Lonchura striata: one gene and its partners. The protein of the gene in region 1 interacts with the protein of each later gene in a biochemical or structural test. Links are inferred from orthologs where the notes say so. Each region holds a gene or a part of one and is shown on either strand. Other genes may lie near its edges.

The links.
Region 2: the proteins of RAN (region 1) and RCC1 form a complex in vitro, tested with the Homo sapiens proteins (6 studies listed by BioGRID and IntAct, with this or other methods). The link is inferred for Lonchura striata from reciprocal best matches to the Homo sapiens genes RAN and RCC1.
Region 3: the proteins of RAN (region 1) and IPO5 form a complex in vitro, tested with the Homo sapiens proteins (2 studies listed by BioGRID). The link is inferred for Lonchura striata from reciprocal best matches to the Homo sapiens genes RAN and IPO5.

The regions. Positions count from the first base shown.
Region 1 is NC_134620.1:14,959,277-14,963,020, forward strand, and holds the start of RAN (GTP-binding nuclear protein Ran), read left to right. Parts: upstream 1-1,038; 5' UTR 1,039-1,160; intron 1,161-1,862; 5' UTR 1,863-1,868; coding exon 1,869-1,904; intron 1,905-2,745; coding exon 2,746-2,830; intron 2,831-2,923; coding exon 2,924-3,049; intron 3,050-3,744. UniProt on the Homo sapiens protein: GTPase involved in nucleocytoplasmic transport, participating both to the import and the export from the nucleus of proteins and RNAs. Switches between a cytoplasmic GDP- and a nuclear GTP-bound state by nucleotide exchange and GTP hydrolysis.
Region 2 is NC_134628.1:105,379-109,122, reverse strand, and holds the start of RCC1 (regulator of chromosome condensation), read left to right. Parts: upstream 1-1,473; 5' UTR 1,474-1,562; intron 1,563-1,763; 5' UTR 1,764-1,807; intron 1,808-1,889; exon of another isoform or gene 1,890-2,094; intron 2,095-2,235; 5' UTR 2,236-2,277; intron 2,278-3,744. UniProt on the Homo sapiens protein: Guanine-nucleotide releasing factor that promotes the exchange of Ran-bound GDP by GTP, and thereby plays an important role in RAN-mediated functions in nuclear import and mitosis.
Region 3 is NC_134604.1:77,589,120-77,592,863, reverse strand, and holds the start of IPO5 (importin-5), read right to left. Parts: upstream 2,694-3,744; 5' UTR 2,619-2,693; coding exon 2,535-2,618; intron 1-2,534. UniProt on the Homo sapiens protein: Functions in nuclear protein import as nuclear transport receptor. Serves as receptor for nuclear localization signals (NLS) in cargo substrates.

The DNA of each region.
Region 1 (3,744 bases):
CTCTCCCCGGTGCCATACCCTCTGTCCCCGGTGCCATACCCGCTCTCCCCGGTGCCATACCCTCTGTACCCGGTGCCATACCCTCTGTACCCGGTGCCATACCCGCTGTCCCCGGTGCCATACCCGCTCTCCCCAGTGCCATACCCTCTGTACCCGGTGCCATACCCTCTGTCCCCGGTGCCATACCCGCTCTCCCCGGTGCCATACCCGCTGTACCCGGTGCCATACCCTCTGTCCCCGGTGCCATACCCGCTCTCCCCGGTGCCATACCCGCTGTACCCGGTGCCATACCCTCTGTCCCCGGTGCCATACCCGCTCTCCCCGGTGCCATACCCGCTGTCCCCGGTGCCATACCCTCTGTACCCGGTGCCATACCCTCTGTCCCCGGTGCCATACCCGCTCTCCCCGGTGCTATACCCGCTCTCCCCGGTGCCATACCCTCTGTCCCCGCTGCCATACCCTCTGTCCCCGGTGCCATACCCTCTGTACCCGGTGCTATACCCGCTCTCCCCGGTGCCATACCCGCTCTCCCCGGTGCCATACCCGCTCTCCCCGGTGCCATACCCGCTGTACCCGGTGCCATACCCGCTCTCCCCGGTGCCATACCCACTGTGCCCGGTGCCATACCCGCTCTCCCCGGTGCCATACCCTCTGTCCCCGGTGCCATACCCGCTGTCCCCGGTGCCATACCCGCTGTACCCGGTGCCATACCCGCTCTCCCCGGTGCCATACCCGCTCTCCCCGGTGCCATACCCTCTGTCCCCGGTGCCGTACCCTCTGTACCCGGTCCCATACCCGCTGTGCCCGGTGCCATACCCGCTGTCCCCGGTGCCATACCCGCTGTCCCCGGTGCCATACCCTCTGTACCCGGTGCCATACCCGCTGTCCCCGGTGCCATACCCTCTGTCCCCGGTGCCATACCCGCTCTCCCCAGTGCCATACCCGCTGTCCCCGGTGCCATACCCGCTCTCCCCGGTGCCATACCCGCTCTCCCCGGTGCCCTGCCCCGCCTCCCGCCGCCTCCCGCGCGCCGCGCACCACGTGACGCGCGGCGCCGCCCCGCCCGCGGCCGCGCGCCGCCGCCGTCCGGGTATTTGAACGGCGCTTCCGCCATTTTCCCTGCGCCCGCACGGAGCGAGCAGCGGAGAGTCTCGGCAGAGGTACGGGCCCGGCCCGGCCCCCCGGCCCGGCCCGGCTCCCGCCGCCATCGGGGCGCGCCCGGCCGCTCTGCAGAGCGGGGGCGGCGGTCGGGCTCGTTGGCGGCCGGGCCGGGCGGGCCGTGCCTGAGGGAGCGTCGCGGCCGCGGGGCCCGGGCGCGTGGCGGCTTTTCCCCGCGAGCGGGGCCGCCGGGCCGCGGCCGTGCGCGGGGAGGGGGCGGTGCGAGGGCCGCCGGCGGGGCCCCCGCGGCCCGCCCGGCCGGGGCAGGGGCGCTGCTCTGTCATGGTGGCTGACGGCGGGCAGGCCCGGCCGCGGCGGCAGCGCCGCAGGGCGGGCGGCGGCTCCCGAGCGGCGGCGGGCTGCCGGCTCGGGGGGATGCCGGCTCGGGGGCGATGCCGGCTCGGGGGCGATGCCGGCTCGGGGGGGATGCCGGCTCGGGGGGGGTGCCGGCTCGGGGGCGATGCCGGCTCGGGGGGATGCCGGCTCGGGGGGCTCGGCGCAGTCGGGAGCGGGGCCGGGGGGCCGGGAGCGGGTCGGGAGCGGGGCCGGGGGGCCCGGCGCGGGTCGGGAGCGGGGCCGGGGCCCGGCGGGCGGCGGCGCGCCGCCATTCCGCCGCACGCGGGCGGCGCCTTCCGGCGGGGCCGCTGCCGCGCCGCGCTCGCCCGCTCACGCTGCCATTGCTCACGCTGCCATTTCCCCCGCAGAGCAGCATGGCCGCCCAGGGAGAGCCGCAAGTGCAGTTTAAGGTAAGCCGCGCTGCCCCGCTTTCCTTCGGGGCTTTTTCTCCCTTCGCTAGAAAAGTGACACAAACCACTCTCGAGTGCCTACGTGGATGGTGGGTTTGGTTTTGAACTGCTGGTCTTCCCTTAATGGGGCGATTTATTGAAGTGTTGAATACAACTCGCACAAAAAGACTCTATTAAACTATTTTCTAAATTCTTTTTTGTGTCATTATTTTATCTGTAATTCAGTCTGATAGCTTTCAATGAATCTTTACCTACAGAATGATTTTTAAATTTAAGAACTGAAGCTGCCCAGAGTGAATTAGAGTAGCTTGCTTTCTGTCATGTGCTAATGGTGCAAGTGTTTCAGAAGGGAATTTTCTGGTGTTTTGAGTGGCTGGTGGGGTGGTGGTTATCTTTTTGTTACCTTAACAGCCAGAAGTCCTGAAGACTCTTTCTTGAAGGTTGTTACTTGTGTTTCTTTCAGTTCTTGACTAGTGTGTTTCAGTTTATGGTGCAAATGTTGGTGGGTTCTTTAATTTTAAGGTAGCAAAGGTTTTCTCCAGTGGATGTTTTGATAATTTCCTCTTGGAATCTGGTTACAGTCAGGTTGAAAGCCCTAAATATTCTGCAGTGCAGCCCTTGCCTACAAGGGCTGGATAAGACTGATCAGAGTTACAGCATGATGGGTGGACTTAACAGATTTGGTTCCCAGCACAGGGAGCTGCTTCATGGGGAGTTCTGTCTTTGTTTACAGCACCTTGTAGGAGCTGTGCTCTTTGTAGTAATGAGTAGTATCTGTGCTGGAATGACTGATAAGTGTCTCAAGATGCATTGCTCTGACTCTTCCTTTTTCTGTCCTCAGCTTGTTCTGGTTGGTGATGGTGGCACTGGTAAAACAACATTTGTAAAGCGTCACTTGACTGGTGAATTTGAAAAGAAGTATGTAGGTATGTCTGAAGAAACATTTGAGCTCCAGTATCTTACAAATGAAAATACAATCTGTGACTTGCTAAATGCACTGCTTTTTGTTATTTCCCTAGCAACACTGGGTGTTGAAGTTCATCCTCTGGTGTTCCATACTAACAGAGGCCCTATTAAATTTAACGTATGGGACACAGCTGGCCAGGAGAAGTTTGGTGGCCTGCGTGATGGCTACTATATCCAAGGTAAGATCTGGGGGGACAGTTCTGTACCTCTTACAGCTCAGTCCTTCCTTCTGCTCATGCTGGCTGCGCTGCAAGCTGTCAGTGTGGCTGCAGTGATGAGCTGGCGTAGAACTCAAGCTCTTACGTGGAGAGAATAATGTCCCTTGCCAGACAACGTGGGAACACAGTAAGGTTGTGTTTCAGCGTGTTTTGTGGGCTTTGGTATTGATGGAATGACCAATAGCACTGGCAGCACTCGGTGGTTAAGGGGTGACAACGTGTGCTTCAGTAAGTGCAGATTTCTGTCTGGATTGCTGTGCTCAGGCAAGGCCTTGGAACACAGAAACTTGAGATTTTCAATACCATGATGCAGTTGGACACCTTCATGCCAGAGTCTGTCTTTCTGAAAATGTGCAGTGTTCTTTCTGCTTGGCAAATACCTGTCCCCTGCTTCTTCACTCACCCTGCACATCTTTAGTGTATCTTACTTTCGTAAAGTATTCTTGAGGTCCTTGAGAAGCCCTTCTGGACACGGGTATCCTGAGATGTGGACCACAGGCTCTCAGCCTACCTTTAAGCCTTATTGGCATGTCTGAGATGAATTAAACCAGTTCTGAGATGAATTAAACTGATTCTGCCAGGCATTTGGGTACATCCACACTGGCTTCCATAGTCTGTATAGTCTCATGGTGCAATGCCACGTTGCTCAGGGATAG
Region 2 (3,744 bases), on another chromosome or scaffold:
AGGGCTGGAAGAGTTCTCTGCATCCCCCTCTGAGGCAATACAGTGAGGGTGGAACCTCAGCTCTTCCAAGATTTGCCTTCCAAACATATCCAGAAAAGGGCTTCTGGCCAGGGAAGGGGAATCCTGTCTGAATGTAGCATTTCACTGGAGCAAACACATCTCTCATGCCATCAGGCTGGAACTGACACTATACCTCACGTGGCTCAGCAATATGACTCTGCCAGGAGACCGTGTCCAGGGGAAGGACCCCTTCCTTCCCAAGCTGTACAGACTTGTCTTGGGGAGAGCAATTCCTCATTTCCTCCTCCTTTCTGTGAGGAAGGGAGATTAAAAACAAAGGCAGCTCTAAGGTTGGGAAGCTGAGGAGAGCATGTGCTCAGAAGCATGTATGTGTATATTAGCTGTGTACAGAGAACCCTGGCAGACGGCTGACATGGCACTCGGTGGTTTTTGTGAGGTTTTCTTTTCTGTCAAGTCGTTAATGCCCTGAATCACTACTGACCAACGGTTTGTTGTCCTGGAAGGGAATTGTATAGATATTAACATATGCTGCATCTTTTTGTTAAAAAAAAAGAAAAAAACCCAACATATGTGTAAATGCTCTGCACTCTCACACTTGCTCTGATCTTAATAACAGATCCAGAGATATTTAGGCTTGTTTAACAAATTACAGAACCAGGAACAATGACTGTTGCCTTTTTAAAACTTTTTAATTAGGAGAAACTGTGAGAGTAGTCAGTCCTTTTTATTGTGGCTTTCTCTCAAATGTTTTTTACTCTCCCAAATCAGGGTTGAAGGTTGCCTTTTTCTCATTTTTACAGCTAAACCTACTGGAAATTTGATCGTTTCACTGTGTGGATCAAAAGGAGGGGAAGAATAGGTTTAAAAAGTGACCTTAAAAAGATGGTATTTCTCTTCTGAGAGAAAAATTCTTCCTCAATGCGGGTTGAAAAAAAAAAAAATCCGGTAGGGCCACTGCTGTATTATGCACAAAACTAAACTATCGGTGAGATGTCACTTGTGCGGGAGGGCGGGAGGGAGAGAAGAACTCTGTCTTGCTCACAGACCAGCGTGGCAACACGCCGGCTATGGCCCAGCAGCCGCTGGGGGCTCTTCCCTCACAGCATCCCCTGTACAGCCGCCATTACATTGTATATCAGTCTCCGCAACAACAGATTTTAATTATTAAATAAAAGTATTTTAGAATTCTTTTTCTTAAACCCTGCTTGTGCAGCCGTGTCTTTTCAGCTGATCTCAGCAGGAGCCTGACCGGGGCTCCTGAGGGGGAGGGGGGCAGGTCCGCCATGGCGGCGCCTCCCCTCAGGCTTTTCGCGCCCTTCCGACTGCGCGTGCGCCAACCGCCCTGCCGGCCGCTGCGCAGGCGCGGCTGGCCCGGCCCTCCGCGGCGCGGCGGCCCCGGCGCCTCTGCCCATACACGGTGTGTCCCCGCCGCTCGCGCCTGACGCGCCTGCGCGGGTTTCGGCCCCGCCCCCGCGCGCTATAAAAAACGCCGCGCGGCGAGGCTCGGCCTTTTTCACCGTGGGGAGCGGCGGAGCTGACAGGTGAGGTGCCATTTAGTTTTACCCTTTTTGCCGTTTTTACCCTTTAAATCCCTTTTCTTGCTGTGGTGTGAGGTCCTGCGCTGTCAGCGGATGCCCGCTCCATCCTGGTTTTAACGCTAAACTACGCCGTGAGTTACACGTGGCTGCGGGTGCTGCGGCGCTACCTCAGCCGCCCCTCACAGCCATTTTCTTTTCCCACAGGTTCCAAAGTCTCTTCAAGCTTGGTTTGTGCGGCCCGCTGCAGCGTGAGTATCCATGCTTGCCGTGGCCTGGGACGCGCGGGGGCCTGGGGGGATCAGGATGGTTATAAAAGTTAAAAGTAAAGGTCCAACGTGGATATCCGGAGAAGTCGCTCTCTCTCGGCTCTGTCCGTGTGGCGCACGGGAGCGCAGGCCCTCGGGCCCGTGACGTACAGTCCCTTTCCACGACGTTGGAGAGCAAGCCGGGCCCCGAGCCTGCAGCCTGCATATTCCTACTTCTTCTCTGAGCCCTTGGGCCGTTACAGAGGAGACAAACCATGCAGGAAACACTTCTTAAAAATCGGTTAGAAACTGTTGATAATACACTGACACGCGGGGTGGGACGGTGAACACATGCGGAGCTGGGAGGGAGAAACAGAAAAACACAAGCACCTGAGAAATTCTTAAAGTACCTTTTTTTTCATTATTTCCAGTGCCAATATCGGAAAAGTTGGAGTAAAACACGATTTTTGAAGGTAATTGCGTTTAAAATGTAATATTGTGTGTAGTTGCAAAGATGTTTCTAAAAAAATGGGACAGTAATAAAATCCCAATCCGGTAGTAATGTCAGTTCAGATCGCAGGCTTCTAGCTTCGATGATGGTGTTCGATTTTGGATGGATGGGGAAAAGAAACTCCTGAGTCTCGAAGGGGGAAAAAAAAAAAAAGCCATCATGAATCTTGGCAAACAGGAAAAAAAATGGCTAGAGATAAACTTGTGTACTAAACTTAAAACACAATTGCTGTATTGTGGGACACGAGGAACAGGCAGGAAAAAAACGCTCTATTTTTCCTAGAATATTGCAGAAACTGCTGGGGTGAAGTAACAAGGAAAAATCCGTGGAAGAGGGGTGAGTATATTAAAGAGTGCCCAAATTAGGTAGTTGCCCGAGTACTGTTAGTGCACTACGTGTGACTAAAACGTAGCCACAGAAATCAAAACGTGGTGGAACCAAGGATGTATAAATCCAGTGGTTTTATAAAACACGTCCTTGGAGCGCAGTTCCTGGATTTTGTGGATCAGGGCCTGGAGGTGCACGCGGTATGGGTAAGCTGCACGGGAAGGAGGGACAATTCCCGGCGTGAGGGGTTGGCTGGTCCAGCAAAGAGCTGCTTTTGGGATGCTTAAAACTGGGGAAGGGGAGTGGGGGGGATCGTAAGGGTTAAGGAGATACCGCGTGTGCTCTCCTGCGGCTGCACTTGCCAACCTTGCTGATTCCGACGTATATAGGATGTGAGTGGAAGCAGTTTGTGTGTTCAGGCCCTGAAATACAGCTCTCTCTCTATTTGTAAATCTGTACCTGTATACAGTAGACAAAACAATAAACTGAATTTAGCTTTGGCTTGCTGTGTGTTTTTGGTGAATGATCTGAATATTAATGAAAACTTAATGCTCGGCGTGGTGCCTCTTGCGTGGAAATACAATTCTTGTTTGGTGCTGACCAATCTCAAAGTAAATGATGCAGAAATGCTCTGTGGCACTCTTGGGGCTGGACTGGGAAGCAGATTCGTAATTTAAATCCGGATTTGGATTATCTCAGGGAAGAAAACGCTTCATATTAAGGGCTGAGTCAAGAAGGGGTTGATGGCGTCTGTTACCCCGGGGTGTAGCTTGTGGGGGGAAGCCGGGCAGGGCATTACAGGGTTTCCCCTTCCCTTGGAAAGGGGAGTGGGGTGGGTTTGGGGGAAGTGCTGGTGTGGGGTGGGTGGAATGGGCATCAGCAGTTGGCCAGACGTCCTGTCCTTGGCTGCGCAGTCCCCCGGGAAAGGATCAGGGGGTGGCTGTGTATCTGTTCATCAAAGCTCCACATGGGCCTGGAATAAATAAATCGATGGTGATGCCTCGAAGCTTTTCCGGTCATGGGTTGTGGGTGACCCCTGGAATCACTGTCGATAAGCAGATGAGGCTGCTGTACCAGCCAAGATGTTAATTAGAAACATCAT
Region 3 (3,744 bases), on another chromosome or scaffold:
GGCATTACAGCTTTTCTGAGCAGCCTGTTCCAGCGCCTCAACACCCTCACAGCAAAGAATTTATTCTGTATATCTAATCTAAACCTGCCCCCTCAAGTTTAAAGCTGTTGCCCCTTGTCCTACTATTGTATGTCCTTGTAAAAGCCCCTCTCAACCTTTCTTGCAGGTCCTCTTTAGGTACTTGAAGACTGCTCTAAGGTGCCTCCAGTCTTCTCTAGGCTGAACAATCCCTACTGTCTCAGCCTGTCTTTCACAGGAGAGCTGTCCAGACTCTCTGACCATCTTTGTGACCCTCCTCTGGACCCACTCCAACACGTCCACGTCCTTCATGTGTAAGGGGCCACAGAGGCAGACAGAGTACTGCGGTGGGGTCTCACAAGAACAGACAATACACATATAAATCCATTCACATCAACTGAGTTTGGTGTCATCAGGCTTTCTTCCTCATGGTTTTTTTTTTTTTTTAACATCGTTTACTACAATCCTCCCAAACAGGATATGACTCTACATCTCAAGTTCAGTCTTCAGCTGAACACTCTTCATTCTCATTTCAATGACCAAACCTATCTAGAATAACCTGAGTCTGCTCAGTTTCCTGTCTATCCATTTTTCATTCTGACTGATTTTCACTGGATACAAATGAAAACCTGCAATTCAATTTACCTGCAGTTATTTGAATACTTTATCTATTCCATATTACCTTCCAACAATAAGTACACTTTGAAAAATTGACCGGACTATGCCAATATTTAAAATCAAGTATGAGTCCTGTATGATTTTAGGAAGCAAATATTTTAAAGCCTATGCAACACTTTTATCCAAAAAAATGTTACTTAAAACCATACAATTTAAGACAGTCTAGCTACACTGTAGACAGATTTATGTTTCTAGGTGAAAGTTCATTAACCCACCACAAAGACTAACTGGAGTTCTTCACAGCCATGCATGGTGGAAAAATGAGAGACAACAGGTGTAAATTGAGAAAAAGGAGGTTCAGACTTCAAGAGGTCCAGATCTTTCTGTCCTAATGAGGACAAGTCAAGCAGGAGTGAGTAACTCAAAGAGCTCGTGCAGTCTCCACTCTCAGAGGTTTTCAAGAGCCACTAGGACAAAGCCCCGAGTGACCTGATCTGACCCGAGAGCTGACACTGCTTTGAGCATAGCAGACCTCCTGAGGACACTTCCATTATGAATGATCCTAAACCATAAAATAATTTGCAGCACACCTTGGAAATATTCAGAAACTAGTGACAAATTCAGTGCCGATAAATAAGCAAAATGTTTTTAGGTTATATGTAGGCAGTTGAGAAGAGAGAGAAATTCATCTTCCAGGGAATGGCTTCCATTGCAGCTCTATGTTCAGGAATGTGGGAATAATTCTTGCTGACGCTCTAGAAAGTGCAGTTATCAATACCGAACTTCACTAGCTTTCTAAAAATGTATGTCTCCCCCCCTTCTCACTCGGGATTCATATTTGAGGCATTTTCACTGTAGCATCAGGAATAATGCTTTTTATTCTTCACCAAACAATGCACTGAACTCTGCTGACCGCTGGAGTGATGAGAGTGATAAAAGACCCGATGCAGCCATGCAGCGGGAATTCATGCTAAACCTAGACGCTGGTATTTAATTCAACGGGAGAGATTCCCCACCAGGCTTGACAATGGAGCCTTAAGCATGACAGAGAGAAAGAATTAACGTGGCTTAGCCGCCACAAAGAATTTCAGCTGAAACAACACGTCTGAAAACTTTTTGCTGATAACAAGAGAAACTCAGCATATTAGAAACACTTCTTTTGGATGAAATACTTCTTAGCTGACGAAACACTTGAACACATACGGGGCCGTTCCGAAAAGTTAAAAAACCAAACTCCTGCGTGGCAACAGAGAAGGACCTCGGTCCCGCTCCTGCCGGCCCAGCTGGGGCGGGGGCACGGAGCCCCGGCGAGGGCCGCCTCAGGAGCGCACACCAGACCGCTCCCATCGCGGCAGGCACCACTCTGACCTCCTTCGGGGAACGCCTCCGCTCCCGAGCCACCGAGAGCCGGCCCCACACGCCGCCGCCGGCTCGCCGCCCGCCCTGCGCGGCGGGGCCGGGGCCGCGCTCCGTCACGCCGGGCGGCTCAGGCGGAGCCAGCCGCGGAAAACGGGGACCAGCCGCCCCTGGCGACGCTCCCACACGGCCACGGCGGGGGCGGCCTCGAGGCGGGCGAGGGGCGAGAGCGGCGCCGGACACGCCGGGGCGGGCGCCGAGGGGAGTAACGGGACCCTTCTCGCCCTCACGGGCCGAGGGCCGCCGCGGGCCCTTCGCCCGCCGGGAAAAACGGCCGCCACGTCCCGGCCCCGCCGCCCCGATCGGGGCCAGTCCCGGGCCGCCCCGCCGGCAGCTGGTGCCGCTGCTCACACGTGGGGCTCGGCCGGCCCCGCCGCTTCCCTGCCCCCCTCCCTCCCTCCCTCCCTCCCTCCCGCCCTCCAACGAGGCCCGGCGGGTCTGACAGGCCGTCTCGGCGGCCGCTAACGCGGCGGCCTCGTTACCTCGGCCTGCTTGCGGACCGCATTGTCCGGGCTGAGCAGGTTGCCGAGGAGGGCGTAGAACTGCTCCTGCTCCGTCGCCGCCATTGCTGCGAGAGGGAAGGAGAGGGAGGAAGGGGGAGCGCCGGCCGCGCCGCCGGCGGGGGAACGGGGGGCAGGGCCTAACGCCAGCTGCGTTCCCATTGGCCGCGGCGGACGGAGCCTCGCCCCCGATTGGCCCTGCCTCCCTTTGACGTCCCGGCGGCTCGGGCGAGGCGGGCAGCGGGGAGCGGCGGCTCAACCGACCCCCAGCGGGGGTTTGTCTCCTCGCGTGTCATTGGTGCGCCGCCGCGCCGGGGGCGGGAGGCAGGGGCGGCGGAGCGCTCCGATTGGCGGGCGGCTCCGGCAGCCGCGGCGGGATTGGCCGGAGCCGCAGTCGGGCGGCGCGGGCTGGGAGGGGTCGCGCCGGGACGCGGAGCTGGGGCCGGGCCGGGCCGGGCCGGGCCGGGGGGAGGGCAGGGAAGGGGGGGACGGAGAGCGCGGGAGAGCGCGGGGCGTCGCCTCCGGACACTCGGTGACGTCGTGCTGCTGTCCCGCCACAGGGAATCAGTGAGTCACAGAACCGGTCAGGGTGGCGGGCACCACGGTGGTATCTGGTCCGAGCTCTCTGATCAGACAGGGTCGTCCTAGAGCACACGGCACAGGATTGCATGGAGACAGTTCTTGAATATCTCCAGTGACGGGTACTCCACAGCCTCTCTGGGCAGTCTGTTCCGGTGCCCAGTCACTCGCACAGTAAAGAAGTTCATCCTCATGTTCGGGTGGAACTTCCTGTGTGTCAGCCTCTGCCCGTTGTCTCCTGTTCATTGCTCAGCACGACCGAGCTGGGCCTGGCTCCAACATCGTGGCACCCTCCTTTCAGATACTGATAGACATTAATGAGGTTCCCCCTCAGCCATCTCTTCTCGAGACCAATCAGGCCCAGCTCCCTCAGCCTTTCCTTGTAAGAGAGTTGCTCCAGTCCTCTCATCTCCCTCTGCTGGACCCATTCCAGGAGCTCCGTATTCCTCTTGTGTTGAGGAGCCCAGCACTGGATACGGTACTCCAGATACGGCCTCACCAGGGCTGAGCAGAGCGGCAGGACAACTTCTCCTGATGTGCTGGGATTGCTCTTCCCTAATGCACCCTAGGATACCATTGGCCTTCCTGGCCGCAAGGGCGCTGGTGGCTCATT